7 linked regions of the Macaca mulatta genome follow. The protein of the gene in region 4 binds, or shares a complex with, the protein of the main gene of each other region. Links are inferred from orthologs where the notes say so. Each region holds a gene or a part of one and is shown on either strand. Other genes may lie near its edges. The genes, in order: SNRPD3, TSSC4, GPKOW, SNRNP200, SRRM2, RBM48 and BUD13.

What was found.
Region 1: SNRNP200 (region 4) and SNRPD3 share a complex: the UniProt entries of both Homo sapiens proteins name them as parts of the U4/U6-U5 tri-snRNP complex. The link is inferred for Macaca mulatta from reciprocal best matches to the Homo sapiens genes SNRNP200 and SNRPD3.
Region 2: the proteins of SNRNP200 (region 4) and TSSC4 are in contact, whole or in part, in a cryo-EM structure (PDB 7PX3), measured with the Homo sapiens proteins. The link is inferred for Macaca mulatta from reciprocal best matches to the Homo sapiens genes SNRNP200 and TSSC4. Residues at the interface, in NP_054733.2 of Homo sapiens: Arg1438, Arg1475, His1502, Lys1748, Gln1749, Val1752, Asp1753, Thr1756, Trp1757, Tyr1761, Arg1762, His1778, Leu1781, Ser1782, Asp1783, Leu1785, Ser1786, Glu1787, Val1789, Glu1790, Gln1791, Glu1807, Met1808, Asn1814, Met1817, Ile1818, Tyr1821, Tyr1822, Asp1928, Ser1931; in NP_001284587.1 of Homo sapiens: Val198, Ser199, Ser200, Phe201, Asn202, Gln203, Asp204, Pro205, Gly211, Arg212, Val213, Ile214, Phe215, Thr216, Lys217, Pro218, Arg220, Gly253, Pro254, Val255, Glu256, Leu257, Ala258, His259, Leu260, Ala261, Gly262, Gly303, Phe304, His305.
Region 3: SNRNP200 (region 4) and GPKOW share a complex: the UniProt entries of both Homo sapiens proteins name them as parts of the minor spliceosome. The link is inferred for Macaca mulatta from reciprocal best matches to the Homo sapiens genes SNRNP200 and GPKOW.
Region 5: SNRNP200 (region 4) and SRRM2 share a complex: the UniProt entries of both Homo sapiens proteins name them as parts of the minor spliceosome. The link is inferred for Macaca mulatta from reciprocal best matches to the Homo sapiens genes SNRNP200 and SRRM2.
Region 6: SNRNP200 (region 4) and RBM48 share a complex: the UniProt entries of both Homo sapiens proteins name them as parts of the minor spliceosome. The link is inferred for Macaca mulatta from reciprocal best matches to the Homo sapiens genes SNRNP200 and RBM48.
Region 7: SNRNP200 (region 4) and BUD13 share a complex: the UniProt entries of both Homo sapiens proteins name them as parts of the minor spliceosome. The link is inferred for Macaca mulatta from reciprocal best matches to the Homo sapiens genes SNRNP200 and BUD13.

The regions. Positions count from the first base shown.
Region 1 is NC_133415.1:28,770,555-28,774,526, reverse strand, and holds the start of SNRPD3 (small nuclear ribonucleoprotein Sm D3), read left to right. Parts: upstream 1-1,172; 5' UTR 1,173-1,190; coding exon 1,191-1,316; intron 1,317-3,972. UniProt on the Homo sapiens protein: Plays a role in pre-mRNA splicing as a core component of the spliceosomal U1, U2, U4 and U5 small nuclear ribonucleoproteins (snRNPs), the building blocks of the spliceosome.
Region 2 is NC_133419.1:2,307,463-2,311,472, reverse strand, and holds the start of TSSC4 (U5 small nuclear ribonucleoprotein TSSC4), read right to left. Parts: upstream 2,801-4,010; 5' UTR 2,753-2,800; intron 1,722-2,752; exon of another isoform or gene 1,581-1,721; intron 1,230-1,580; 5' UTR 1,073-1,229; intron 913-1,072; 5' UTR 890-912; coding exon 1-889. UniProt on the Homo sapiens protein: Protein associated with the U5 snRNP, during its maturation and its post-splicing recycling and which is required for spliceosomal tri-snRNP complex assembly in the nucleus.
Region 3 is NC_133426.1:49,204,849-49,208,863, reverse strand, and holds the start of GPKOW (G-patch domain and KOW motifs-containing protein), read left to right. Parts: upstream 1-1,215; 5' UTR 1,216-1,227; coding exon 1,228-1,403; intron 1,404-2,168; coding exon 2,169-2,323; intron 2,324-2,422; coding exon 2,423-2,547; intron 2,548-4,015. UniProt on the Homo sapiens protein: RNA-binding protein involved in pre-mRNA splicing. As a component of the minor spliceosome, involved in the splicing of U12-type introns in pre-mRNAs.
Region 4 is NC_133418.1:5,035,329-5,038,828, reverse strand, and holds part of SNRNP200 (U5 small nuclear ribonucleoprotein 200 kDa helicase), read left to right. Parts: intron 1-1,199; coding exon 1,200-1,392; intron 1,393-1,864; coding exon 1,865-1,920; intron 1,921-3,195; coding exon 3,196-3,294; intron 3,295-3,500. UniProt on the Homo sapiens protein: Catalyzes the ATP-dependent unwinding of U4/U6 RNA duplices, an essential step in the assembly of a catalytically active spliceosome. Plays a role in pre-mRNA splicing as a core component of precatalytic, catalytic and postcatalytic spliceosomal complexes.
Region 5 is NC_133425.1:4,049,204-4,052,703, reverse strand, and holds part of SRRM2 (serine/arginine repetitive matrix protein 2), read left to right. Parts: coding exon 1-1,726; intron 1,727-1,965; exon of another isoform or gene 1,966-2,060; intron 2,061-2,457; coding exon 2,458-2,745; intron 2,746-3,084; exon of another isoform or gene 3,085-3,500. UniProt on the Homo sapiens protein: Required for pre-mRNA splicing as component of the spliceosome. As a component of the minor spliceosome, involved in the splicing of U12-type introns in pre-mRNAs.
Region 6 is NC_133408.1:126,862,844-126,866,810, reverse strand, and holds the start of RBM48 (RNA-binding protein 48), read left to right. Parts: upstream 1-1,167; 5' UTR 1,168-1,197; coding exon 1,198-1,308; intron 1,309-1,861; coding exon 1,862-2,052; intron 2,053-3,967. Other genes in the region: peroxisomal ATPase PEX1, read right to left, coding at 690-818. UniProt on the Homo sapiens protein: As a component of the minor spliceosome, involved in the splicing of U12-type introns in pre-mRNAs.
Region 7 is NC_133419.1:117,438,531-117,442,030, reverse strand, and holds part of BUD13 (BUD13 homolog), read left to right. Parts: intron 1-994; coding exon 995-1,079; intron 1,080-3,143; coding exon 3,144-3,500. UniProt on the Homo sapiens protein: Involved in pre-mRNA splicing as component of the activated spliceosome. As a component of the minor spliceosome, involved in the splicing of U12-type introns in pre-mRNAs.

The sequences.
Region 1 (3,972 bases), on a different chromosome or scaffold from region 4:
GTGAGCCATCGCGCCCAGCCGGTCATTTTTTAAAAAGTTCTTTGCATCTCTGCCCCCAGCTCCCTTTCAGGCAGTGGTCCCGTCATGCTTTCCACACTGTTGCAGCAGTTTTAACTGTTGCAGAAATTTTAACAAGTTTCTCTGCTTCTAAACCTTACGTTAGATCCATTTTGTAAATAAATGCTGCTACCTTTTCATTGTGTCATTCTTTACCTATAATTTTGCAGTGGTTCCCCACTATCTTCAGCATAAAATCTAGGCTCCTAAGGCTGAAAGCCAGGGATCCTCACCAAAGGAGCCTGTCTTTTCAACCTCATGTTCTCCTGTCTTAGGTGCACTTAGGTTCCAACTTTGAGTCGTCGCTCATGTCAATAAAAAGTTCACTACTTGATGCTTTTAATTAGGTCAAGTCAGGTGCTTTCCCTTATTTTCCTCCATGACGGGCATTTCCTGCATATAGCACGTTGTCACTTTGATATTTTCTCAATATCCTTGATGGTAAAGTAAGGGAAGGGTTAAAGAGCTGCATTAAAAGTACAGTCTCCTCTCCTAGATATGCATGGTCCTTAGGTCTGTATCTGCTCCTTCCGTAGGGTAGCCACCAGCTACATGTAGCTGTTGAGCACTTGGAATATGGCCACTGGGATTGAGGGACTGGGTTTTTTATTTTAATTCTATTGTGTTTTAGTTAAGTTTAATTTAAATAGCTACATGTGGACATGAGCTACTGTATTGGACAGCTCAGGCCTGTGTTATGATTGTCAAAATGTAATAATCTACAATTAAGGGTTGACAAATAACAGTGCAACAGATTAACATTCCAATCCCCCTCCCCTACACACACAGTATTCGCTAATGGTCCTTTAGCTGAAGATTAAGGGACATAGGGTAGCAGGGACACATGGTCGATGGGAGATGCTCTCTTTTCATTCCTGTTTTTACTTCTGTCCACCCCACCATTCCTCCTCACCCGACATCTTGCACATATTTGCCAGATAGTTTCCTCCAAGCCAGGAGCTGAGCTTTCTTTTTTCTTTTTCTTTGATAGAAAATGCAGCTTTGGCGTTTTTGCTAAGTTTTATGGAGTGCCAGGCCTTGAAGGAGGCATGACGTGTGCCGCATGCCTTCTCAGACTCTGAAAGATGAACTGACTGTTGTCTCTTTCACTGTAGAGCTCTCTTCCTGCCAAGATGTCTATTGGTGTGCCAATTAAAGTGCTGCACGAGGCCGAGGGCCACATTGTGACATGTGAGACGAACACCGGTGAGGTATATCGGGGGAAGCTCATTGAAGCAGAGGACAACATGAACTGCCAGGTATTCTGCTTTGCATGTGAGGCTGTGTGGGAGGAATGGCCCTGTGTCTTGAAGGACAGAAAGGTGTGGGTTGGGGGTCTTCTGTAAATTGTTCTCATTCAGCAGTGATTTCCTGAGTGCCTAACACATACCAGTCAGGTGCTGTTATAGGCTCTGGGGATGTGGGCATGAACAAAACACATAGTCTTGAGGCAGAAAAGCCATTTGGAGATTTGGAATATTTTACTTCGCCTTTTTTGTTTTTTCCATCCCCAAATTTGGGGACCTGTTTGGGAGAAGTTCCTTCAGTAGAATCCTTCAGGTTCAGAGCCATTATCCATTTGCCTCCACTTGCTTTGCAGTTAGGAGAATCTTCTCACATACTGTGTTTGTTTCCCTTTTCTCTTGGAGGAGGAGTCTCATTTGATTATTGCAACTACCTTGTGAGGTAAGCAGGTTTGGTGGTAGTCTTGTCATCCATAAAATAGGGAGAATGAGATTAAAGGACTCATCACTCTGATAGTAAATAATGGAGTAGTTTCTTGATACGGTGTCCTTCTCATGGCGCAGCTTTGCCTTTTGCATAGTCATCTGAATTTTTATAGCATTGTTTTTCAGTTGTATCTTCACACTTTCTTTGTTCTTTAAACCATTGGTTAAGAACTTGGACTTGGGAGTCAGAGAGAGATGTGGGTTTGATTCCTAATTATATGACCTTAGATGTATTAATCACTCAGTTTTCTCATCTGTAAAACGGGAGTGTTATTATTTTGGGTTCTTTGATGTAGATGCCAAGACAGAATTATGCAAGGTATTTATTGGGGGAAATGACAATAAAGGATAAAGGAACAAGGAAACAGTAGTAGGCAGGGAAATTTTCAGTCCGTGATGCTGGTCTGACTGGTGAAACGAGAGGGGAAAGAAGGAGGATTGAGCAGGAAGAACCTTAGACTACAGTGTAGTTTTGAGGAAGTCTCAGCAAGGCAGTGATTGCTCATTAGAAGAATCTAACATGGGGCAGAAATGGGCAGACTGGCACCCCTGGTGTGTTCATTCCATTGGCTGGCAGCCTGGGGAGACAGTCTCTCTCCCCAAGTTGAATGCCATGGTGGACTGCAAAGATGGAGATTGTCGGCTGCCTTCACTCCTCATAGCCTGTTTTCTTTTGGAGGGAGATCTGAGCAGCACACCCTTAAGACTGCCACAGGGATAATATCCACACCCCCAGGACTTTTACAAAGATCAGATGAGCTATATGTGTGCAATAGCTGCTCGGTGCCTCACATACTGTAAGTGTTCAACGTATGGTGTTTACTGCTTTTTTCCAGATGAGAAGGTCAGAGAGGTAAAGCGTCTTACACCACGGTCAGGTATCCTGACCATCTATTGGTTTGCGCCATTCATTTATTTGTGATTTTTCTGTAGCTTTGAGCGTCTATCATCTTCCTGCGAGGTTGACAAGCTTGGTCAGTTCCCTGGATGCAGAGAAGTAGACCTCTGGTGACTCAGGTTTATTGCATCATTGTCAATAGATCAGTTTATCTATTGACAGTAGATAGGTTTATCATCTCTCTTTCATATATCCAGACCTCTGGCTTAAGGCATGCTCATCCACTTTAAGGTACTTTAATTTGGTGAGGAGAATGCAGGACTTGGGTTAGTGAATCTTAATGGGTTTGTCATCTAGCTATATGTATTTGGACAACCTGCTGGGTTTCCAGGGCCTTTGTCATCCCATCCATAACATGAAGGTGTCTAACCAGATAACCTCGGTGGCCATTCAGAGATGCAGTCCACGTGACACAAAGTGCACAGAACTTGGAGTCAGACAGACCTGGAATCAGCTTGCAGCCTGCCACCTAGGGTGACTTGGGGTGAGCTTTGGACCTCCTTCGTCCTCTGGTCCCTCTTCTAAGTCAGGGATAAAAATAGCTCCTTGGCTTCAGAAGGAACCATAGTGCAGAAGAAATGAGTAGATGCATGTCACATGCCTGACCAATGGTGGGGGGGCAGCCACCTGCCTCCCTGCTTGTATTTGTATGCTAGTGCTGCCAATAACAAAGTTTCACAGATTGGGCAGCTTAGACAACACAAATTTGTTTTCTCCTAGATCTGAAGGCTGGAAGTCTGAGATCAAGGTGTTGGCAAGGCTGATTTCTTCTGAGGGATGTGAAGGAAGGATCTGTTCCAGGCCTCTCTCCTTACTTATAGATGACTCTCTTCTCCCTGTGTCTTCACTTGGTCTTCACTCTGTAGTGTTTCTGTCTAGATCTCTTCTTATAAGGATACCAGGCATGTAGAAATAGGGCCCACTCTAATGACTTTTCTTAACATAAAGTTTTTTTTTTAATAAAGTTTTTTTTTTTTTTTTTTGAGATGGAGCCTTGCTCTGTCGCCCAGGCTGGAGTGCAGTGGCGCGATCTTGGCTCACTGCAACCTCCGCCTTCCAGGTTCAAGCGATTCTCCTGCCTCAGCCTCCCAAGTAGCTGAGACTACAGGCACCTGCCACCATGTCAGCTAATTTTTGTATTTTTAGTAGAGACGGGTTTCACCATATTGGCCAGGCTGGTCTCGAACTCCTGACCTTGTGGTCCACTTGTCTCAGCCTCCCAAAGTGCTGGGACTACAGATGTGAGCCACCATGCCCGGCTTGCCTTTTTTTTTTTTTTTTTTTTTT
Region 2 (4,010 bases), on a different chromosome or scaffold from region 4:
GGAGACCTGGCACAGACCCACTGTGGACAGGCCCTGACAGTGCCTCCACCTCCTGCAGGCCCCCATGGGGGCTGCCCCACTCCTCGGCCTCTGGGCTCCCGGGCCCGGCCAGATGGGCCAGCTCCACAGGGCCCTCGCCCCTGTCTGTGGCAGGGTTCCCAAGGCCACCCCTGCCCGGCTCTCCCACCTTCCCCAGGACCCTCTTCCTCTCGTGTCTGGCCTCGACGCCTCGGACTGGTTTGGTGAAGACGACCCTCCCCGCCCCACAGCTGGAGGGGTCCTGGTTGAAGGAGGACACACAGTCAGTGGGGGCAGCCAGGCTCTGGGAGCCCAGGAAGGCCAGGGCGGCGGCCTGATTGCTCTGCTCGCTGACCTCGGTCACATCTTCTAGGCTGTACTTGGTCCAGCGCTCGGGGTGTGCCACGTAGTCAGGGACCGGAGGCACCCTTGGGGAGGCGGGGCTCCGACGGGCCCCGCCCAGGCCTTCCACTGGAGACCGGCCTGAGGGCGCTAGGGGCTGCTTGAAGCCTCCATTGTCACTCATGCTTGTGTGGGCCACAGAGGATGGAGCCCTCCTGGCCGCTCCCTCCAGGCAGTCAAAGATGTCACGGCTGCGCTGGGAGAAGGTGGAGCTCATGCCTCTCAGATGGAATGGCTGCACCGTGGCCGGGAGGAGGCCTGACGGGGGTGAGGGTGGTTCATCAGGACCTGAATCCTCCTCCCCAGGCAGCCCCAGCGGGGACAGTGCTTCCACTTCAGCACCACCGGGCAAGCTGAGGTCAGAGTCCGAGTCGCTGAGGGAGACTGTGTCGGAAGGCAGCGTGTCATACTCCGTCCCGTGCTCGCCCTCCACGCTGGGGGACGGCTCACCTGTCCCTGCATCAGCCATGGGTCCCCAGGGCCACGCCACACCTAAACCAAAACGGCCCAGGAAGTTTGTCTCTCAGGAGGAAAAGTATTGAGAATGAGTTCCCCCTGCAGATCCACTGCCCCTGGACAAGTAGAGAATCAACTGACAGAACCGTCCCACACAGGGTGGAGTCCCGCCTCCCCCTCCAAGCCCTCCTCTCACCTCTCTTGGCTGCTGGGTGCCAGTGGTTGACACTGGAGTGTGACTGGACAGCCAAGTGGGCCAGGTGAATGGAGCCCTGCTGAAGGTCCTCAGTGGCACAGGCGTGGTCGTCTCAGGCCTGGGAGTGCCCCAGCATTGCCGCTGTTCAGCTGCTCAACTGCAGGTGGGTGGGGTGGGGGAGAGGACCAACCTCAGACCAGAGCACACATGTGTGAAACAGGTTGTGTCCAGTGCCAGCACATTGTCACCCCTTAAGGTGCCAGGCAGGACCGACCTAAGTCTGGGTTTTCAGAGCCCCTGACAGGCTAGGACTCAGGGTAGGGACTTTTGACTCGTTACCTCATTTAATCGTGCCAACCCTCTGCAGGCAAGCTTGGAGCTACTAAGCGATTTTAGTAGTAAGCAGCCACCCAGGGCTTAAACCCAGGGCCGAGATCAGGCAGGAAGGCCACTTATAAGCTGCTTGCTGTGCAGGGTGAGCAGTTGGTACTCCACAAAGAGCCGGCACCTTCCTGATCCATGGGGAAAAGGTTTGCTCCTATTTGCTGGAAGATCCCCGGGAGCTCCCAAGGAATCTGCAGCCAAGGCCCTGGCATCTGAGGGTCAAGCTCTCAGGAAAGTGGGGTGTCGACCATCACCTTGAGCAGCCCTGCTAGGCAGAAGCAAATCCCCGCAGCTCCTGGAGCGACCTCCAGTGACCTTCCTCCTGTAACACTCAGCACATACCTTGCCTTTCCAGCTGGGCAGACAAATGCTGCCTCCTGTACCCATTTAGCGGTAGAGTGACTAGGTGCCTCAGAGCTTGCGTTTCCAAGCAAAAAAGACGGCCCATCCACACCCTTCTTCACTGTCCTCGGCCATCCATCCACTGACTCCTCTCCTGCTACCAACACTCCTTGCCCGCCCAGAGTGACCTGTGTCTTGTGCACCCAACAAGGATGGGGTCAGGGGTACTATTAGGGACTGTCAGTGCCCTCCACCAGGTCAAACACAGGAAGGACCTCAATTCCTCTGAGGCCTGACTCTCCTCAGTGAAGAAGCCACCCCAGGGAAAGGCGATACCCAGTACCCCCCACACTGATGACCGTTTTAAAACTGGCAGGAATGGGGCGGGGGCCATAATTTGCCCAAGTCACACAGTATGTTGCAGACGAAGCTGGAGTTCCAACCAGACCCCTGCTTCCCAGATTCGCACTCCCGTCCTCTGCAGCAGAACGCCGCCGCGGCCAGAAGCAGCCTGGTCAGCGGGGCACTCCGAGGGGGAGCGGGGATCGGGCTGCAAGACAGGGACTCCAGGAGTCCGTTCTCGGGGTTCTCGGCGAGATCCGGCAATGAGTGGAAGGGCAGAGTTGACTCCTTCATGTCTGGAGACTGAAGGAAGCCGTCTGTTTCTCCACATGAATGCAGAGCCGGGCCTTTCTCCACTCTATGTGCCAGCAAGACCTCCCCGCCAGGGAAAGAACGAACTCTCAGTGCCAAGTTGGCTCTCGGTGCGAAGTCGGGCTGGACAGGCCCGGGTCCGGGCCTCAAGAGGATGCTGTGGGTGCCAAGGGCCCGGTCGCAAGGTACGGGGGTTGGCAAGCACAGCGGGGCCTCCGAGCTCAATTTAAAGCTGCGCTCGGTGACCTTCCGGAGGCTCGGCCGGCCACCGTGGCCCGTCCTCCATCAGCACAAACCTACCGGCTCAAGGATGCACGGCAATCTCCATCTTGGTCGGCGCCGCACGTCCGCGCGGCGCGCTCAGCCCTCTGGGAAACCGAGTGCTCTGCCGGCGGAGCGCCGCGGTTTCCGCACCTGCAGAACTACAACTCCCACAAGGCACTGGGCCTCCACTCCCGACGCCTGTCGGGATGTGTAGCCCTGTGCGCATGCGCCCGCCCCTCTACGCCCCGGCCCTTGGGTCCGGCTCGGAAGCGGCCCCGGAAACGACGGCATTTGTTGGGGAACCAAGACCGGAATTGACCAAGAAGAACAGGAAGAGGAGGGGCCAGGCCTGCAATTCCCAGAATGCTCGACGGCTAACCGACAACCGGGCCGGCTTCCCGTGGTCCCAGCGCCACCTGCCGGAAACCGCGAGAACAGCGGCCGCCCCAGGCAGGAAGTGCATCATCTCGTATGGAGAACGAATGCCGTTCCCAGCACTTCCGGTCATGACCGGAAGCGGTAACTGTCGCTCCTCCTGGGCTTCGTCAATGCAGCGAGGCGGGGCTCCCCGGGATCCCACGGTCCCGCTCAGGCCAGACGCAGAGGCGGTCCCAGCCCGAGATGAAGACGCGGGGTCGTGGCCGCTGGGTCACGGGTGAAGGGGGCTTTACCCGCTGGTTGGGCCGACGCTTTCCCACCCCTAGGGGTTTACTGGGCCCTGGCCGCAAACTTGTGGGGCGTCGTCCTCACACAATTGCCCGGCCACCCTGACACCTCTGGGCCCTCAGCTCTGGTGCACTGGTCCGGGCTCCGGGAGGCACTGAGACGTCCCCCGAGGGCTCTGCGGGGAAGCTGGGGCCAGGTCCCTGGTCCTTCCGGGCAGGATGGAGGCCGCTGAATGCTCAAGCTTCCAAGTCAGCGTGGCTGGGTGGGCGGCAGCCGGGAAGGTTTGGCCTCCGCCGTGCTTGGGAGCCTGTCCAGGGGGCAGGTCAGATGCCCGCCCTGAAAGGGAAGACGAGGGCCCAGGTTCTCCCTTCGACAAGCCGCGTCTCCCTTGGCCACTGGCCCTGTTGGCACCTTGTGCTCCTTCTCAGCTGGGAGAGTTCATGCCCCACACAGTCAAGGAATCTGAGTTCCCCGTGGCTGCTAGACCTCTGGTCCCTCTGAAAGGCTCGAGAGAGAACTCCCCCAGGGCCTGCTGTCCTGGCATCCGCTGGGAAATAGGATTCAAGGACCTGCTGTGGCTCAGCCTAGAGAAAAGGAGGGGAAGCAGGACCCCCTCCTCGGCCCCCGG
Region 3 (4,015 bases), on a different chromosome or scaffold from region 4:
CTTTCTTTCTTTCTTTTTCTTTTTTAAGACAGAGTCTCGCTCTGTCGCCCAGGTTGGAGTGCAGTGGCGGGATCTCGGCTTACTGCAAACTCTGCCTCCCGGGTTCAAGCAATCCTCCTGTCTCAGCCTCCTGAGTAGCTGGGACTACAGGTGCCACCACCAGCCCGGCTAATTTTTGTATTTTTAGTAGAGACAGGGTTTCACCATATGAGTCAGGCTGGTCTCAAAGTCCTGACCTCAGGTGATCCACCAGCCTAGGCCTCCCAAAATGCTAGGATTACAGGCATGAGCTACCACGCCTGGCCAGTAGGCACTTTATGTCTATTATTTACTATTGTAGACAACTGACACTCCTTCCCCCGCCCCCGACCCTGACTTTTTCTTTTTTAGAGACGGGGTATCGCTCTGTCACTCATGCTGGAATGCAGTGGCGCGATAGGAGCTAAGTGCAGCCTCGAACTCCTGGGCCTCAGGCCATCCTCCTGCCTCAGCCTGTGGGCTAAATGAAACTACAGGTGCACGCCACCACACCTGGCTGATTATTTCTAAATGATTTACTTCATCAACACTTCCCACATGAGTAGGGCACACAGTAGGCGCTCCATAAATACTTGTCAAACGCCTACACGAAGGAATCAATGCCTGGCAAGAATGAATCCACCTTCCACCATGCCTACCTCGCTAAAAACTACATTTCCGGCCGGGCGTGGTGGCTTACGCCTGTAGTCCCAGCACTGTGGGAGGCCGAGGCAGGCGGATCACGAGGTCAGGAGATGGAGACTATCCTGGCTAACACGGTGAAACCCGTCTCTACTAAAAATACAAAAATTAGCCGGGCGTGGTGGCGCATGCCTGTAGCCTCAGCTACTCGGGAGGCTGCAGCAGGAGAAGCGCTTGAACCCGGGAGGCAGAGGTTGCAGTGAGCCGAGATCACGCCACTGCACTCCAGCCTGGGCAACAGAGCAAGACTCCATCTTAAAAAAAAAAAAGAAACAAAAACAAAACAAAACAAAAAAAACTACATTTCCCTGTGCACTTGGCGCGACGCACTCCCACGACGTTTGAAAGAGCGACAATTACTTCCCACGGCCCCTTACCGCCCCCTCCCGCCGGTGCCACAGTGGTTGATGGGAAGGTAGTTTTTACGCACTTTGGCCGGCCCCTAGCGATCTGAACCCAAACTAAATTTCCCAGCAAGCAGCGCGCAGGCCTGGGAAAAGTGGCAAGATGGCTGACTCCGAAGAGGGTGTTTTGCCGCTGACGGCTGCTTCCACTGCCCCAATTTCATTCGGCTTCACTCGCACGTCCGCACGGAGGCGGCTGGCCGACTCGGGAGACGGCGCGAGGCCATCTCCGGAGGAGAAGGATTTCTTGAAAACCGTGGAAGGGAGGGAGCTGCAGAGGTGACGCGCCGGGTCTTTCACACCTTGGAAATCGCTGCGGTGGGCGTAAGCGGGAGGGAGGAACCTCACTCAGTCGTTTGTCTTGGTGACAGTGACCTGTTAAGCCTGAAGCACAGCCTGAGTAAATTCGTGAAGGCCAGAAGGCTGGAGTTTATAAGAGGGGTGGGGAAATTGGGCCTGATAGCCGTGGGAATTGCGAAGAGAGGATGTATCACTGAGAAGAAGTGTCTTTAGGACTTGAGGACACTGAGGTGTGTGCGTTCTGGGAGAAGGAAAGAATGAGAAAATGACAGGACCTGCTAGTGTCTCAGCTGAAGTGGTGGGGCTTCTCTGATATGGGGAACGGGATGGAGCGGCAGATTCAGGTTGATGGAGGCCACCATCAGCTTAATGAGGAGAGGAGAGTCTGAGGGAGGGATTTCCAGAAGAGAATCAGGCATCTGGGAAGCTGTTTGGGAACCTGGAGCTAGGGAGGGTCTAGGCTGAAGATAGTGATTTGTGGGCCATTGTGGAAGCCGGTCTTGAGTTAAACAGAGAGTCCAGGACTTATTTCTCGAAGGCACTGACATTTACGAGTTGGGGGCACTGGGGGGGATAATCCAAAGAATGCACGATCAGAGAGGTACAGGAGATCCAGACATGGAGTAGAGAAGGCATGGTCTGTGGGGCTGGGGTGAGTTTGGCTCTCGTGTTTTCTCTGAATAAAGGAGTGTGACCCACTGACACTGCCATTCTCCCAACCCCACCCCTCTGTGTCCACATCAGTGTGAAGCCCCAGGAAGCCCCCAAGGAACTCGTCATCCCTTTGATCCAGAATGGCCATCGCAGGCAGTCACCAGCCCGGCCCCCTGGGCCATCCACAGATACTGAGGCCTTGGCAGATGGGGTGCTGTCCCAGGCTGTGAAGGAGCTCATTGAGGGTGAGTGATGCCCCTTTACCCTTCCCCAGTGAAGGAAGAAGATGAAGAAGGTGGAAGGATAGAGTGGGACTTCATTGCTCCCTCCTATTCTTCCCTTAGAATCCAAGAAGTCTCTGGAAGAGAGAGAGAATGCGGGTGTCGACCCCACGCTCGCTATCCCCATGATCCAGAAAGGATGCACCCCCAGCGGGGAAGGGGCAGACAGCGAACCCCGGGCAGAGACAGTGAGCTGGCCCCTTGTCCCCCTCCTGCCCCAGCCTTTCTTTGCCCTGTCTGCTAGGCTGTGTCCCTGCACATAGCAGGGAAAGTCTGTGTGCTAGAGGCCCGCCACCTGTCCTTTCTCCTGTCATCCTTTTTGGAAGCATTACCAAATGAATCTGGATATCTGGATGCTAAAAACGTACTTGAATCCTAGGATTATCTGAATGAGGTGTGCAGCAAAGGGAACAGGAAATGTAAAGGCCCTGAAGGTAGACACTGCCTAGAGTGTTTGCGGAACACCAAAGAGACTAGTGTGACTGAAGTGGAATGAGTGAGGGGAAGGGATAGTAGACGAAGTCAGAAAGGAGATGGGGGTGCTAGACAAGGCAGGGCCTTGTAGGCCATTGTGAGGACTTTGGCTTTTACTCTGAGTGGGATGAGAGCCTAGGCAAGCCCTGAGCATAGATGAAATATGATTTATGATTTGACAGCATCCCTCTGGCTGCTGTGAACAGACTCATTAGTGAAGGTGGAAGCAAGGGGATGAGTAGTCCAGGCTAGAGATGCTGGGGACTTAGACCAGAGTGGTCTGGAAGGATAAGTAGGGTTTAGTGAGAGGGAAGAACAGAGTGAGTGTTCCTGTTGGTAGTAACAGCCCAAGCAATGGCATAGTGGCAGAAAATCGATGTGGTGTGTGTCCATCAGTGAGGCAACATGTGGTGTGTCTGGAGTGAATGGGAAGGAGTGATGATGGAAGGTGACGAGGAGATGTGAGAGGCGTGTCTACAGGAGTAACCAAGTCTGTCTTTCATACCCACAGACCTGACTTTTCACCTCTTCTTTCATAAATTTCTTACATTGCTTCTTTGGAGTCTAGTTCTCCTACAGCCCCAGAACACTCTCTTTCAACTGAACTGTTCTCTTCAGCCTTCAGATGTGCTCTGATTTCCTTCAATTTTTTTTTTTTTGTTTGTTTTTTGTTTTTTGAGACAGAGTCTTGCCCTGTGGCCCAGGCTAGAGTGAAGTGGTACGATCTCGGCTCACTGCAACCTCCCGCTCCCGGGATCAAGCGATTCTCCTGCCTTAGCCTCCCAAGTAGCTGGGATTACAGACACGTGTCACTACCGCCTGGCTAGTTTTTGTATTTTTAGTAGAAACGAGGTTTCGCCACGTTGGTCAGGCTGGTCTTGAACTCCTGACTTCAGGTGATCTACCCACCTTGGCCTCCCAGAGCGCTGGGATTACAGGCATGATCCACTGTGCCCAGCTCCTTCATCTTTAAAGAAAAAAAAGATCCTCACTTCCCTCTTCATCCTTTCATCCTGTTCCAGCTTTAACCTCATTCCTCTAATTTTTCCCTCTATAAACCTCCTCCTGCAGCTTTATACATATCAGGTGACCAAAAATTCCATCCATCCTTCCTCTCACTCAGCATAAAAACCTTGGAGTCGGCCAAGCCTGTAATCCCAACACTTTGGGAGGCTGAGGTGG
Region 4 (3,500 bases):
GTAGTTAGTGTTGGAACGGAATTGAATTTGAGGACACCAGCTTGTGTCCACTGCACAATTTTTGGATTGGTTGCTGGTGGGGAGGAATTGTCACAGAAGCCTTCTGTGTTAATTGTTGTAAGAGTATAGAGAAAACAAATTTGCTTTATTTCTTTTTTTTTTTTTGAGCTGGAGTCTCGCTCTGCTGCCCAGGCTGGAGTGCAGTGGCGCGATCTCGGCTCACTGCAGGCTCTGCCTCCCAGGTTCGTGCCATTCTCCTGCCTCAGCCTCCCGAGTAGCTGGGACTACAGGCGCCCGCCACCACATCCGGCTAATTTTTTGTATTTTTGGTAGAGATGGGGTTTCACCGTGTTAGCCAGGATGGTCTTGATCTCCTGACCTCGTGATCCACCCGCCTCGGCCTCCCAAAGTGCCGGGATTACAGTTGCAAGCCACCACAGCCGGCCAAGTTTGCTTTATTTCTATATTCTCAGAGCGAGGCGGCCAGAGGATGAGACCGTGTGTCAGAAAAGGAGAGGGTCACAACTGGGAGGCTCCAGATGAACCTTGCCTCTGGATCCCTTTGTGGGATGTACTGGTCTGCAGAAGGGGCTTGTATTTACCGAGCACTCGATTTGTGTGGAACAGCACGTGTCTTTCTCCCGCCCCCTCACGTAACTCCGTGAATAGGTGCTGTTAATACTCATTTTCCATTTTATAGAAGAGAGATGTGAGGCAAGAATAATTAAGTAATTTTCCCAAGTCACAGAAGTAGTATTTGGCAGAGCCAAGATATGATCCAGATAGTTTATATCTAGAATCTGTGTTCCTAACCATTACACATGTGTGATTAGATTGGGGACCATTATGAGTCTGAGGAGCTCTGTTGATGTGGGTGCTAGAGGAAGTGAGGACAAAGAATTACAAAAGTGTGGCAGGCTAGAGGAGATCTGCCAAGTGACTGCCACCTGGAGATGTGGCAAGCTGTTGTGGAAGCTGTGTCCTGCTGCTTGAGGCCACCTAGCTAATCTTTTTAAAAACAGATGAGTCTTCCTTTAGTTGTGGCATTTTAAATCAGCATTAATGAGAAAGATCAGAGCCTAGTATGCAACAGGTTTTGAGAAAGTGTGGCTGTTCGCATCCTGCCGCCACATAAACCTGATTGGTGATGTTCTGTCTGTCATCATTCTCAATATTGATTGGTTGTTTCTTGCTACCAGCCACGTGATATCCTTTGTGGGGCAGCTGATGAGGTTCTAGCTGTTCTAAAGAATGAAAAGCTGCGGGACAAGGAAAGGCGAAAGGAGATTGACCTGCTGCTGGGTCAAACAGATGATACCAGATACCACGTGCTAGTGAACTTGGGAAAAAAGATCACAGACTATGGTGGAGACAAGGAAATCCAAAATATGGGTAAGTGAGCTCTTTATGTCCTGATCATGTTAACTGGTTGTTGTTGACCCCTAAGCATGCATCTTCTAGCATCATTCATTTAAAAACCTTAGTGTCAGTGAGTTCCCATAATTTGTTGTGTGTTTTTTGAAGAGTTATAATTGATAGACACCAGAATCCCTAGATTTCAGCAGCTGTTCCTTACTCTGAGACCCTTTTGTTGTGTAGAATATGGGAGAAAATGTGGGCAGAGCCTTGGGGGCTCAAGTGGTTGAGCAAGCAGAGCTGGGCTGACTCCAGGGCTGGCAGGTGGAGAAGGTCTTGGCAGTGGCAGCATAGGTGGCTCTCTCGTGTTGATCATCTAAGTGCCTGTGTGTGTCCTTAGCACTTAGATCTTTCCTGAGGAGAGGTAGTTGGGGAGGACATTGGCTCCAGAGTGGCTTGTTTTACTAGCCATTCACTGCCCTCTTTTTCTAATCCTTCGTCGTTTCAGATGACAACATTGATGAGACATATGGTGTGAATGTGCAGTTTGAGTCTGATGAGGAGGTGAGTGATAAACAGGCCCAGTCCATTCTTGTTTTTGAAGTTGATGAAGGTAAAGGGACCCCTTGTAGTGTAAAGAAGCTCCCTAGTTTAAACCAGATACATTTTATGGTGGTGTGTGGGTTTCAGACTTAGGCATTATATGTTCTTTTGCTTAAAAAAAATGCAGTTATCTTTTAACTTTTCTACAGCAAATTTAAACTAACAAATGTAAAGCAACGTAATTATTTAAAATATACCAAGTGGATCAGCAAAAAGAAAGACAAAAGATAAAGTACAGTGAATACTTTGAGAATGTATCTGCTATGTTTTACTGCATTTTAAACGTATTACAATATTTTCCCTTTTTTCATTACTGTGTCCCCACTGCCTGTTTCAAAAGATTGCACATTTGCCTTAGAGCATGGCTGTAGTTCGTACATGGTTAAGTCAGTGGAGTTAATGTTTACCGTCTAATAGAATTCCTTGAATATAAATAGGAATAAGTGGGGTACTTTGAAAAAATTACAGAGTGCCTTAGAGTTCTCAGTGAGTAGATTTGGCTCCTGAAAGGGAAAATGGATCCCTGGTATATATACCAGGGCTGGAAGAAGGGGTTGCATGGGGAGAGTTAGAGGACTAGGAGCCAAGACTTCTGAATTTGAGTCCTGTATCTTGGCAGGTCATTTTGCCTCAGTTTCTCTTTCTATAAAATGAGGCGATTTCAATAGGTGATTGCTAAGCCACTTCCTACAGTATAGTTAATAGGATTTGATGATTTTAAGTAGCAACAAACTGCTTTGCTTGTAGCAGTTCATTCATTTAGCAGTGCTCGTTACTGAAGCACCTGCTTTGACTATGACACTGTGCCAAGTATGCCTAATGTGCAGTGTATGAGTAAATGGAGTGGTGAGCAAGCTTAGTGTGATCTCTTCATTCCCGAGTCACCATCTGCTTTCTCAGACGTGCCTCTGCATAGCTCTTCTCTTCTGTTAGCTGATCACTGTTTTTGAGTGTTGATTGTTTGTGTATTAGAAAGAGGCTATGGTCCAGTTGATTGCCATTGTGGCAGCCTAAGGTAAGAAACAGAAAGTAGATGCATCTAATAAGTCTGTGCCAAGCAGTCTTTCTATTACATGTCCACTGGAATAAGGCTGACCTTGGTTCCAGTAGGCTCTCGGTTTCACCCCAAAGCCATTTCTCTAACCATTGAGCTAATTTAGGGTGACTTGAGGGAGAGGTTCTGTGGTGATGCAGGATCAGCTCCAGATAATGGTTGAGTTGGGGCCATTTCCACAGGAAGGTGATGAAGATGTGTACGGGGAGGTTCGAGAAGAGGCATCTGATGATGACATGGAAGGGGATGAGGCTGTTGTGCGCTGCACCCTCTCGGCTAATGTAAGTTCAGTTTGCTTTTTCTCATTGCTGCAAGGTTACTTCTGGGTGTTAGTGCTTCTTCCCCATGCCTAGGTCCTGTTACATTTATTGAGCCGCCTTTTGCTAGAGTGAACCATAATAAACACTTAGTGTCTAGAGTTTCTTAAGATTTCAGTCGGTTTTCTTCCTTCCCAAAGATGTATGTTGATGAAGTCTTAGTCTGGTAT
Region 5 (3,500 bases), on a different chromosome or scaffold from region 4:
GAAGAAGGTCCCGCTCTCGAACCTCACCAGTGACACGCCGCCGCTCTAGGTCCCGGACACCTCCAGCTATTCGGCGCCGCTCTAGGTCTCGAACGCCACTGTTGCCACGCAAACGTTCTCGAAGTCGCTCACCACTTGCTATCCGGCGCCGCTCCAGATCCCGTACTCCACGAGCAGCTCGGGGCAAACGGTCCTTAACAAGATCTCCTCCAGCCATCCGCAGGCGTTCAGCATCTGGAAGTAGTTCTGATCGTTCACGATCTGCTACTCCTCCAGCAACAAGAAATCATTCTGGTTCGCGGACACCTCCGGTAGCACTCAACAGCTCCAGAATGAGCTGCTTTAGTCGTCCTAGCATGTCCCCAACACCTCTTGACCGCTGCAGATCACCTGGAATGCTTGAACCCCTCGGCAGCTCTAGAACACCCATGTCTGTCCTGCAGCAAGCCGGTGGCTCCATGATGGATGGTCCAGGTCCCCGAATACCTGACCACCAGAGAACATCTGTGCCAGAAAATCATGCTCAGTCCAGGATTGCACTTGCCCTGACCGCTATCAGTCTTGGCACTGCTCGGCCTCCTCCGTCCATGTCTGCTGCTGGCCTTGCTGCAAGAATGTCCCAGGTTCCAGCCCCGGTGCCTCTCATGAGTCTCAGAACCGCTCCAGCAGCCAACCTTGCCAGCAGGATTCCTGCAGCCTCTGCGGCAGCCATGAACCTAGCCAGCGCCAGGACACCTGCCATCCCAACAGCAGTGAACCTGGCTGACACTCGAACGCCAGCTGCAGCAGCGGCCATGAACTTGGCCAGCCCCAGAACAGCGGTGGCACCTTCGGCTGTGAACCTGGCTGACCCTCGCACTCCCACAGCCCCAGCTGTGAACCTAGCAGGGGCCAGAACCCCAGCTGCCTTGGCAGCTCTGAGTCTCACAGGCTCTGGCACCCCACCAGCTGCTGCAAACTATCCCTCCAGCTCCAGAACACCACAGGCTCCAGCCTCTGCAAACCTGGTGGGTCCTCGGTCTGCACATGCCACAGCTCCTGTGAATATTGCCGGCTCCAGAACCGCTGCAGCCTTGGCCCCCGCGAGCCTCACCAGTGCTAGGATGGCTCCAACATTGTCTGGTGCAAACCTCACCAGCCCCAGGGTGCCCCTCTCTGCCTATGAGCGTGTCAGTGGCAGAACCTCACCACCGCTCCTTGACCGAGCCAGGTCCAGAACACCACCGTCTGCCCCAAGCCAGTCTAGAATGACCTCTGAACGGGCTCCCTCCCCTTCCTCTAGAATGGGCCAGGCTCCTTCACAGTCTCTTCTCCCTCCAGCACAGGATCAGCCGAGGTCTCCTGTGCCTTCTGCTTTTTCAGACCAGTCCCGTTCTTTGATTGCCCAGACCACCCCCGTAGCAGGGTCTCAGTCCCTTTCCTCTGGGGCGGTGGCAACGACCACGTCCTCTGCTGGTGACCACAATGGCATGCTCTCTGTCCCTGCCCCCGGGGTGCCCCACTCTGATGTGGGGGAGCCACCTGCCTCTACTGGGGCCCAGCAGCCTTCTGCATTAGCCGCCCTGCAGCCAGCAAAGGAGCGGCGGAGTTCCTCCTCCTCCTCCTCGTCCTCTAGCTCTTCTTCCTCCTCCTCATCGTCGTCGTCCTCGTCTTCCTCCTCTGGCTCCAGTTCTAGCGACTCGGAGGGCTCTAGCCTTCCTGTGCAACCTGAGGTGGCACTAAAGAGGTGAGGGAGCTTGACTTTAGCATCCTTCAGTGGGGAGGTATTGGGGATGGGTTGGGAGTGGGGAGGGAGAAACCATGTCACAGGTGCTTGACTCTTGGAGGAGGTATGGGGACCTTGACCCTCAGGCTGGGGGTAGAAGAGAATGCTGGGGCGGGGGCGGAGGGAGGAGGAGTGGGACAGATAAAAGTCTCCGAAGGTTCATTCTCTAGAGGATAATGATAAGTTTTCCGTCTCTACAGAGGACAGAACTAGAGGAAATGGACTTAATTTTACAGCAGGAGGGATGGCAGTTAGACCTCAAGAGGAACTCCCTGGGCTGGAAGGATCTTCAGAGGTCATCCCATCCCTCTCCCTGCCTCCAGGCAGGACGGCCCCTTCCCCAGCCAACCTGCACTCACAGGGGCCTCCCCAAGCTGCGGCTCTCCGAGGAAGGAGACTACCCAGCTTCAGCTTCCACACCTGAGCCCAGAGGCCTTATTCCTCCATCAGGGACATTCTTGAGGTTTAACCTTGATCCCTTATGCTGCGGGCCCCAGCCTGTTGCTTCTGTTAGCAGAGGTTGGGTCAGCTCGCACCACTGCTCTCCAGAGAATTGCTGGCTTACAGGGCTAGGAGAGCTCCCAGCACCTTTCTCAGGCACCCCTCCCCCCACTGCCGTTCCTCCAGGCCAAGGAAGGTAGGGTTGGGGCTGGGGCAGCTTGTCTCCTTGTGACACTCTTCTCCTCCCACAGGGTCCCCAGCCCCACCCCAGCCCCAAAGGAGGCTGTTAGAGAGGGACGTCCTCCGGAGCCAACCCCAGCCAAACGGAAGAGGCGCTCTAGCAGTTCCAGTTCCAGCTCCTCCTCTTCATCTTCCTCCTCCTCCTCCTCCTCCTCTTCTTCCTCCTCCTCTTCTTCCTCTTCCTCTTCCTCCTCCTCTTCCTCTTCCTCCTCCTCTTCCTCGCCTTCCCCTGCTAAGCCTGGCCCTCAGGCCTTGCCCAAACCTGCAAGCCCCAAGAAGCCACCCCCTGGCGAGCGGAGGTGAGTGCTGCCTTGCCTGAGATGGAAGGAGGGTGGGGGAGTGACTTATCCAGAGACAGGGCCCTGGGGTGTGAGCTCCCGGCTGGGTGTCTCACGTGACCTTGGGCATCTGGTTGTGGGGGAAGAGGCGCTTGTTCTCTCCCCCGCTTGTTGCACCTTGTTCTGGCGAAGGGCTGCGCCATCCACAGGGGCGCTCAGGCCAGGACTGGGGGGTCCTTGGTTTCTTCCTCTCCCTCCCTCAACACATAGCCTGGTCCCAGGGTTCTAGCTTTGTCTCCCTGTTGCTACTGCCAGGGCTCTGGTCTGGCCACCATCATCTTCTCCCGACTCTGTCCACAGCCTCCTCCCTGTCTCCCCGCCTCCACGCCATTCTCTTCCACATGTAGCCAGAGGGACCTTTCTAAAACGCACATCTGGCTACTTCCCTCCACTCCACAAATCCTTCGGGACGCCCTGTGGCCTGCAGGACAAAGCCCCACCTCTGCGGGAGTGGCGTGTGAGGCTCTTCACCAACGGGCCTTGCCCGCCCTGTGTTCTCCTCCTGCCCGCCCCCACACATGCCCTGTGCTCCAGCCACACCCAGCGCCTTGCAGTTTAAGGAGAGCCCATGCCTTTGGACATGCTGTTCCTTCTGCCTGGAATTTCCTTGTCCGCCTGGTGAACTCCTCGTTCTGCAAGACTCCGCTCAAACAGCACCTTCGAGAAGACTGCCCTGCCCCTTCCCTGCCCTGCCCTATGTCCTCCTTCCTTGGGTC
Region 6 (3,967 bases), on a different chromosome or scaffold from region 4:
CCCCATAACCACACTCAAACTCGTGAGACCATGTGCCTCTATTTTTAATTACGAAAATAAGGACGCTGTATCTCCACCGGTGGTTAGAACTGCGAAACATCCCAACCACAACGTCCAGAAGGGCGACTGATCGCAGAGCTTCAAGTGATCTTAACTACGTTATGTGTTCCTGACACACTACAGCTGTGTTCCGAGGGTCTGGGACGCAGGGCAGAACCATTACTGTATTAAGCTTTCCCGCTCATGGGACGCGGTGCTCAGTCCCCGGGGACCGACAGGGGCTCCACCAACAACTCTGCGCCTCCCTCTCGCGGCCCGGACGGCAGCAGCGCAGGTAACTGGAAATGACTGGCAAGAAAAGCACCTTTTAAAATAACAAAAACAAACCACTTATCAGGAACTTTTCCAGCCTGGAATGAGGAATATTTATAAAAACAGTGGTAGAATATTAGGACATTTCTAGGCCCAGTTTCACCAAGTGAAAAGACCTGGGATAAGACGAGCCCAGGGCTGCACTGGACTTGCGGGATGCAGAGACTAACCAGAAGGGCCCTGCCGTCGAGGGACCCTAATCTCTGTACGCTTCGGGGGCGCCCGGGTGGCAGCCGGTGTCCCGCCGCGTCCCTGAGAGGCTTCGGCCTTGTCCGACCCCAGGCTGAAGATCAGGTGGCCCGGGGCCAGCACGTTACCTGCAGCAGGTGCAGCTGGGCCACGAGACCCCGCGGCAGGTGGAGGAAGCAGTCGCGAGCGTTGGTGAAGGCCACAGTCACTGCCGCCCCGCCTCCCCCAGCACCCGCCAGGCGATCGCTGCCCCACATCGTCCCGAAGCGTCGCTCTGGGTTTGCCCACCCTAGCGCCGCAAAGGACACGGGACCTGGCAGGCCGAGGACGTCGGAACCGGAGGAGATCGATCGGCCCCGCCCCCTGAGGCCCCGCCCCCTCTCCCCGCTGCGCGTCTCGCCGTAAGCCTGTAGTGGGGTGGGACAAGAAAGCTTCTGTCACCCACCGCGCCTCTCCGCCAAGCCGCTCGGGGGCGGCACCTCGTTCATCAAATCCTCGCACGCAGGAAACGATGGCCGACGCTGTCGATTCTTCAGCCAATCCTGACACTCCTTAACTCATCCCGCTCTCTTATTGGATAAAAGGGAGGTCAGCAGGGCGGATGTTGTCCTCCCTGCGAGGATCAAAGTAGGCAAGATGGCGTCCAGCGGTGGGGAGTTAGGGAGTTTATTTGACCACCACGTCCAGAGGGCGGTGTGCGACACGCGGGCCAAATATCGGGAGGGACGACGGCCTCGTGCTGTCAAGGTAAAGTGATTTTTGGTTTCATTCGCTCTCCTCGGTAGCTTTTTGTGAGCGCTAGCGCCATATGGCTAACCTACGGAAATAAAGGCACGACAAGGCTTCCGTCAGATCTGTCGCTCATTAGAGCTGGCGTGAAGAACCCTGGGCCAGGTACCAAAGATTCTCACGACCCTTTTGGTCAACTATTAGAACATCAACTCCACGAGAATAGGGCTTGGTTTTAGTCATTGGATCTTCAGTGTTTACAGTACTACTTGGCACAGGTAAGCGCTCAGTGAATATTCGTTGAGTGATTGTTCCCAGTGACTTCTGCCGACTCAATTTCTGGAAAAAAATGTCGACTGAAGGTAGTCTGTTATATGCCTTAGGTAGCCTCTCACATGGACTGTTACTCTTTATGCAGAGGGAATGGCAGAAATTTTATTTTGTGTTTTTTGCTGACTGGGTTGAACAGATTATTTCTTGTTTTCAAAGTTCTGTTTAAAAAAAAAAATAGAGGCAGATTCGTCCTAGGCTTATTTGCGAAATACGTTTAATAACTATGCATTTCTTTCAGGTATATACAATCAATTTGGAATCTCAGTACTTATTAATACAAGGAGTTCCTGCTGTGGGAGTCATGAAGGAATTAGTTGAGCGATTCGCTTTATATGGTGCAATTGAACAGTACAATGCGCTAGATGAATACCCAGCAGAAGACTTTACTGAAGTTTATCTTATTAAATTTATGAACTTACAAAGTGCAAGGTAAGGTGCAAGTTAAGCAATGACTCGTTTCATTTCCTCCATTCATATTTCTGTCATTTTGGCCCCAAGTTTCCCTCATTCATATCTGAATTACCCCAAAATGTAATCTAGCATATCTTCCTACAGCCTTTTTACAGGTTAACTTTACTGAAACACTGTATCCATCACATCCCATGCTTAACAATTTAATGTCCTGTAGCGTGGTAGAGTAAAAGTTGGGTTTGGCCAGGCACGGTGGCTTACGCCTGCAATCACAGCACTCTGGGAGGCCGAGGCAGGCGGATCACGAGGTGAGGAGTTTGAGACCAGCCTGGCCAACATGGTGAAACCCCGTCTCTACTAAAAATACAAAATTAGCCGGGTCTAGTGGCGCATACCTGTAATCCCAGCTACTCAGGAGGCTGAGGCAGGAGAATTGCTTGAACCCAGGAGGCAGAGGTTGCAGTGAGCCGAGATTGCGCCATTGCACTCCAGCCAGGGCAACAAGAGGGGATCTCCGCCTCAAAGAAAAAAAAAATGGGTTTGAGGGCTGGGCGCCAATAACTCACGCCTCACGCCTGTAATCAGAGTACTTTGGGAGACCGAGGCAGGCAGATCACTTGAGGTCAGGGGTTCAAGACCAGCCTGGCCAACATGATGGAAACCCCGGCTCTACTAAAAATACAAAAATTAGCTGGGTGTGGTGGTGCAGACCCGTAGTCCCAGCTACTCAGGTGGCTGAGGCATGGGAATCGCTTGAACCCGGGAGGTGGAGATTGCAGTGAGCAGAAATCACACCACTGCACTCCAGCCTGGATGACAGAGCGAGGCTCTGTCTCAAAAAAAAAAAAAAAAAACAGAAAAAATTTGGGTTTGGCGCCAGGCATGTGGCTCACACCTGTAATCCCAGCAGTTTGGGAGGTGGAGGTAGGCGGATCACCTGAGGTCAGGAGTTCAAGACCAGTCTGGCCAACATGGTGAAACCCTGACTCTACTAAATACAAAAATTAGCTGTGTTGGTGCAAGCCTTTAATCCCAGCTCCTGGGGAGGCTGAGGCACAAGGATCACTTGAACCCAGAAAGTAGAGGTTGCAGTGAGCCAAGATCATGCCATTGCACTCCAGCCTGGAAAGAGTGAGACTGTCCCAGAAAAAAAGAAAAGAAAAGAAAAAAAAGTTGAATTTGATCCCAGCACTATGGAAGGCCAAGGTGGGCAGACAGCTTGAGCCCAGGAGTTCGAGACCCGACTGGCCAACATGGCAAAACCTCACCTCTGCTAAAAATACAAAAATCAAGGTGGGCGTGGTAGTGCATTCCTGTAGTCCCAGCTACTTGGGAGGCTGAGGTGGGAGAATCAGTTGAGCCCAGGAGGTGGAGGTTGCAGTGAGTCATTTATGGACCACTGCACTCCATCTTGGGTGATGGAGTGAGACTATGTCTCAAAAGAAAAAAAAATGTTGGGTTTGGAGTAAGTTTTCCATTTCCACTGCTTACTAGCTTTGTGATCTTGGACAAGTTATTTAACCTGTTTAAGTTTTTCCTGTTCCGTAAAATCTATATGGTAAAGGGACCTATCTACTTCTTGAGGTTGTATGAGGATGAAATGAGATAATCCATATAAAGGGTTTAGCAGAGTGCCTCCTGGTCAGAATACAGTAAGCATTAGCTATTGTGGTTTCTACTGTTACTCCTTTCTGCAAATTGACTCAGTGTTTTCCGGCCTTCTATGTGACATAAACCCTCTGCTCCAAAAAGGCTGAAGTATGCAATGCCTTATCTATTTTTATGTTGATCTCTGTTCTCCTCACTAATCTGCTCTGAGACCCATCCTTCTCTGGCTGTTACAATTCATATTTTCTTTCATGTGCTATCAGTAGAAATCATAATCTACCACAAAAGCACTTGATTTTACTGGGTCATGTGTGGTTTTCTCAGG
Region 7 (3,500 bases), on a different chromosome or scaffold from region 4:
ATGATGGTAGGATTTTCGGAGAAGTAGAGGGCTGTTACGACCTGGATTTAAATTCCAGTTCTGCCACTTGTTAGCTTGTGATATTGAGAAAGTTACTTAACTTCTCTGAGTCAGTTTGCTATTCAGTAGTGTGGAGCCTTTCTTTGCAGGGTTATTGTGAGAATCGAGTTAGATTATATGAGTAAAACACAAAACACAGTACCTTGCACATAGTTGCTACTCTGTAACTAGGATTTATTATGCCATCATTCTTTGAAAATTTGTCATGTGGAAAAGGGATCAGTTGCATCAGAGGTCAGAACTAGAATCAATTCAAAGAAGTTATAGGAAGGTAGAGATGAGACCAGTAAAACTAAGAACTTTCTAACATTTTTGAAAAATGCAGTGGACTGCGTTGTAAGATAATGAGGTCCTTGTCAGGAAGGGATTGGGTGAGTGGCCATTTATTAGGAATACTATAGAGAAGATTCTGATTCGTTCGGAAGTTTGGAAGATAAGAAATGTGGTTTTAGCTCTTAAAGATTAATGATTCTGTGTACATCTCAGTGGCTGTTTTTGGTTGTATTCAAGAAAATCTATTATTGTGACTACCTACAACAAGAAAGGTTTCATAGAAACCCAAAGTCCTTGATTAGTGCTAGGCATGATGGGGGGCCACCGATGTTTTCACTCTTAATGTAGAAGTAAAAGTGTATAGGAATTTAGTGTTAGCTTACAAGTGGCTGTTGTGTACCTAGCAGGTTAATAAAAAGGTTTGTAATGAAAGAAATTAACCTTTGCGGGGAAATTGAATTATCCAACTAATACAGTGACAATCAGGTGCTTATGGAGCTAGCATAACTGAAGACCCCTACTTATTTCTTCATGACCATGTTGGATATGTGTGCGCCCTTAGGTTAGGAATCGGAATGGTTGTAACTTCAGGTTCTTGAGACAGTGCTTCTTGGCTGGATCCTGTGGATTTCCTCAGCATAGGAAATCTTTACTCCCACAGGTGGCAGAGTTTGTGGATGAGCGGCCGGAAGAGGTAAAGCAGATGGAGGCCTTTCGTTCCAGTGCCAAATGGAAGCTTCTGGGAGGTGAGTTCCAACAGTAGATAAATCTAAATCTCCATTAGTAGGGGAGGTCTTTTTTTCTTTTCTACACTTTTCTTTTAGAGGAATGCATAGTTTTTTTTAGCATGTCATTGATCCTGAAAAATAAAGCAGGAAAAAGGAAGCTGGACTTCTTCAGAAGTAGTAAGACATAGGAACTTAGAGACCAGATATTCCTCTTTCTCTTGTATTTTGGCATTAGGGTTACTGAGGTTGGTGACTAATTTGGAGGCCTGTGAGCACCCATTCCTCTGACTCAGAATAGGAGAGCCCTTGGTATATAGGCAAGACTTTGGGAGGAGTTTACAAGAAACAGGAACAGAATTTGGGGACTTTAGCTACCACTGTCCTCTTCCACAATGAAGCAACTCATTTCTGGGGGGGTCAAGGACCAATGTTTTTTGTTCTGTTTGTGTTAGTAAATTTCTCTCTTCTTTCCTTAAATATTGGTATTTTATAGTGCATTACCCTCCACCTGCCCACTTTAGACTCTTCCTAAGCTAATATTTATAACTTAACTCTCTTGAAAAAAATTTGAGTCCTTGAGACTTGGATAAAAAGTGTTTGTGTGTCACATCTGTTTGAGCATAGACTGGTCTTATTTGCCATGATAGTCCCCTGTCTGGCACAAGGAGCTGCCTTTAATAAATATCTGTAGAATTGCTTAATTGCTAGTAGGCATTTGATTTTTGTAGCCTAACCAGAATTCTTTTCCACAGAGAGTCTTTTGGTCTCCATATCTTGTTTGTCTAGGAAGACATACAGACACACACACACAGTGCTTTTCGGTATCTGAATGTTTAGAAAGTCAGTCACACACACTCACTCACTCACTCACTTACTCCTTTTCTTCTGCCTTGCTTTCACTTCCTCATCCCAATCTGTTACTGGAAATACGTTTACCAATCTCTGACCCTTACTTCCTTCAGATTTACTGTTAGGCCCCCCACAGACATCATACTTTTCTCTGTGGAGTGGATTCCAATCAGATAGGCCTGTTCCCCAAAGTAAAGGAGGTGACTTGGTTTAATTCATTCATTTAGCAAGTGTTCATTGGTTCCTGCCCAGCCTTTATTTTTATTTGGGCTATGGGGCTCAATGACAAGAGATAGAGGTAGAGGAAGAACTGGATTTTGAAACCATTCCAGATGCTATAGATGTTTCATTCTGTGGTGCCTTTGAAAATGGAAGGTCTCAAACTTGTATTTTAACTTTAAAGATTTACGTATTTTAAAGATTGCATATGGACTCTGGAGTCAAATAGAGCTGAATTTAAATATTCCTCCACCACTTATTAGCAATATGACTTTGGCAAGTTAATCTTTCTGAGTATTAACTTCCTCATCTATAAAATGGAAATGACAATATTTATGTCCTAGGCTTATGAGAATTGAATCAGGTAATCTCTATAAAACATTGGCACACAGTAGGTGATTGGTAATTACTTGCTCCTTTCTTTTTTTGTGATTTTTTCTGCTCTCTAACAAAGAGCACAGTGAAATGGATTAAATAGTTAACAGCATTTGATTTTGATACTCACCGTTTTAGTCAATTTACCTTTTGAAAGAGGAGTGAGTACAAACTATAAAGTATCTAGGCAAAATATCAGTAGGAGCCACTAGCTGGGAACTCTGCACAAATGAGGTGTTAGAAAGAACATTGGACTGGGAGTTAGAAGACTTGGATTCTAGCCTGTGTCTTCATCTTAGTAGCTGTGACCTTGGGTAAGAAATCGCTCAGCTCCTCAGCTGAAAACAGAGGCTCTGTTCATAATACAAGGGTACCTGCCCTGCTTACCTTAAAGGGTATAATATGAAAAATGTACTGAAAATGCTTTGCAAATTTATGACTTGGTAGGTGGAGGGGTTATTCTTAAGATATTCAGAGTGGTGATTTGCTGCCGCTAAGCAAGAAAACTGTGCAGGCCTTTTGGGCTTTTTGAGCAGTTCTGAGGTATGTGCTGCTGGAGCATGTCTTGAAACTGGGTGTGGGGGTGGACAGAGGGACAGAGCATTTGTGGGAATCTGACTCTTTGTTTTTTGTGTTTAGGCCACAATGAAGACCTACCCTCACACAGGCATTTTCTTCACGATACCCTAGATTCATCTCCTAGGAGAGTCCGTCATGATACCCCAGATTCATCTCCTAGGAGAGTCCGTCATGATACCCCGGATTCATCTCCTAAGAGGGCCCGTCATGACACCCCAGATCCTTCTCCCCTCAGAGGGGCTCGTCATGACTCAGACACATCTCCTCCCAGGAGGATCCGTCATGACTCCTCAGACACTTCACCTCCAAGGAGGGCCTGTCATGATTCTCCAGATCCTTCTCCTCCCAGGAGGCCTCAGCATAATTCTTCAGGTGCATCTCCTAGGAGAGTCCGTCATGATTCACCAGATCCCTCTC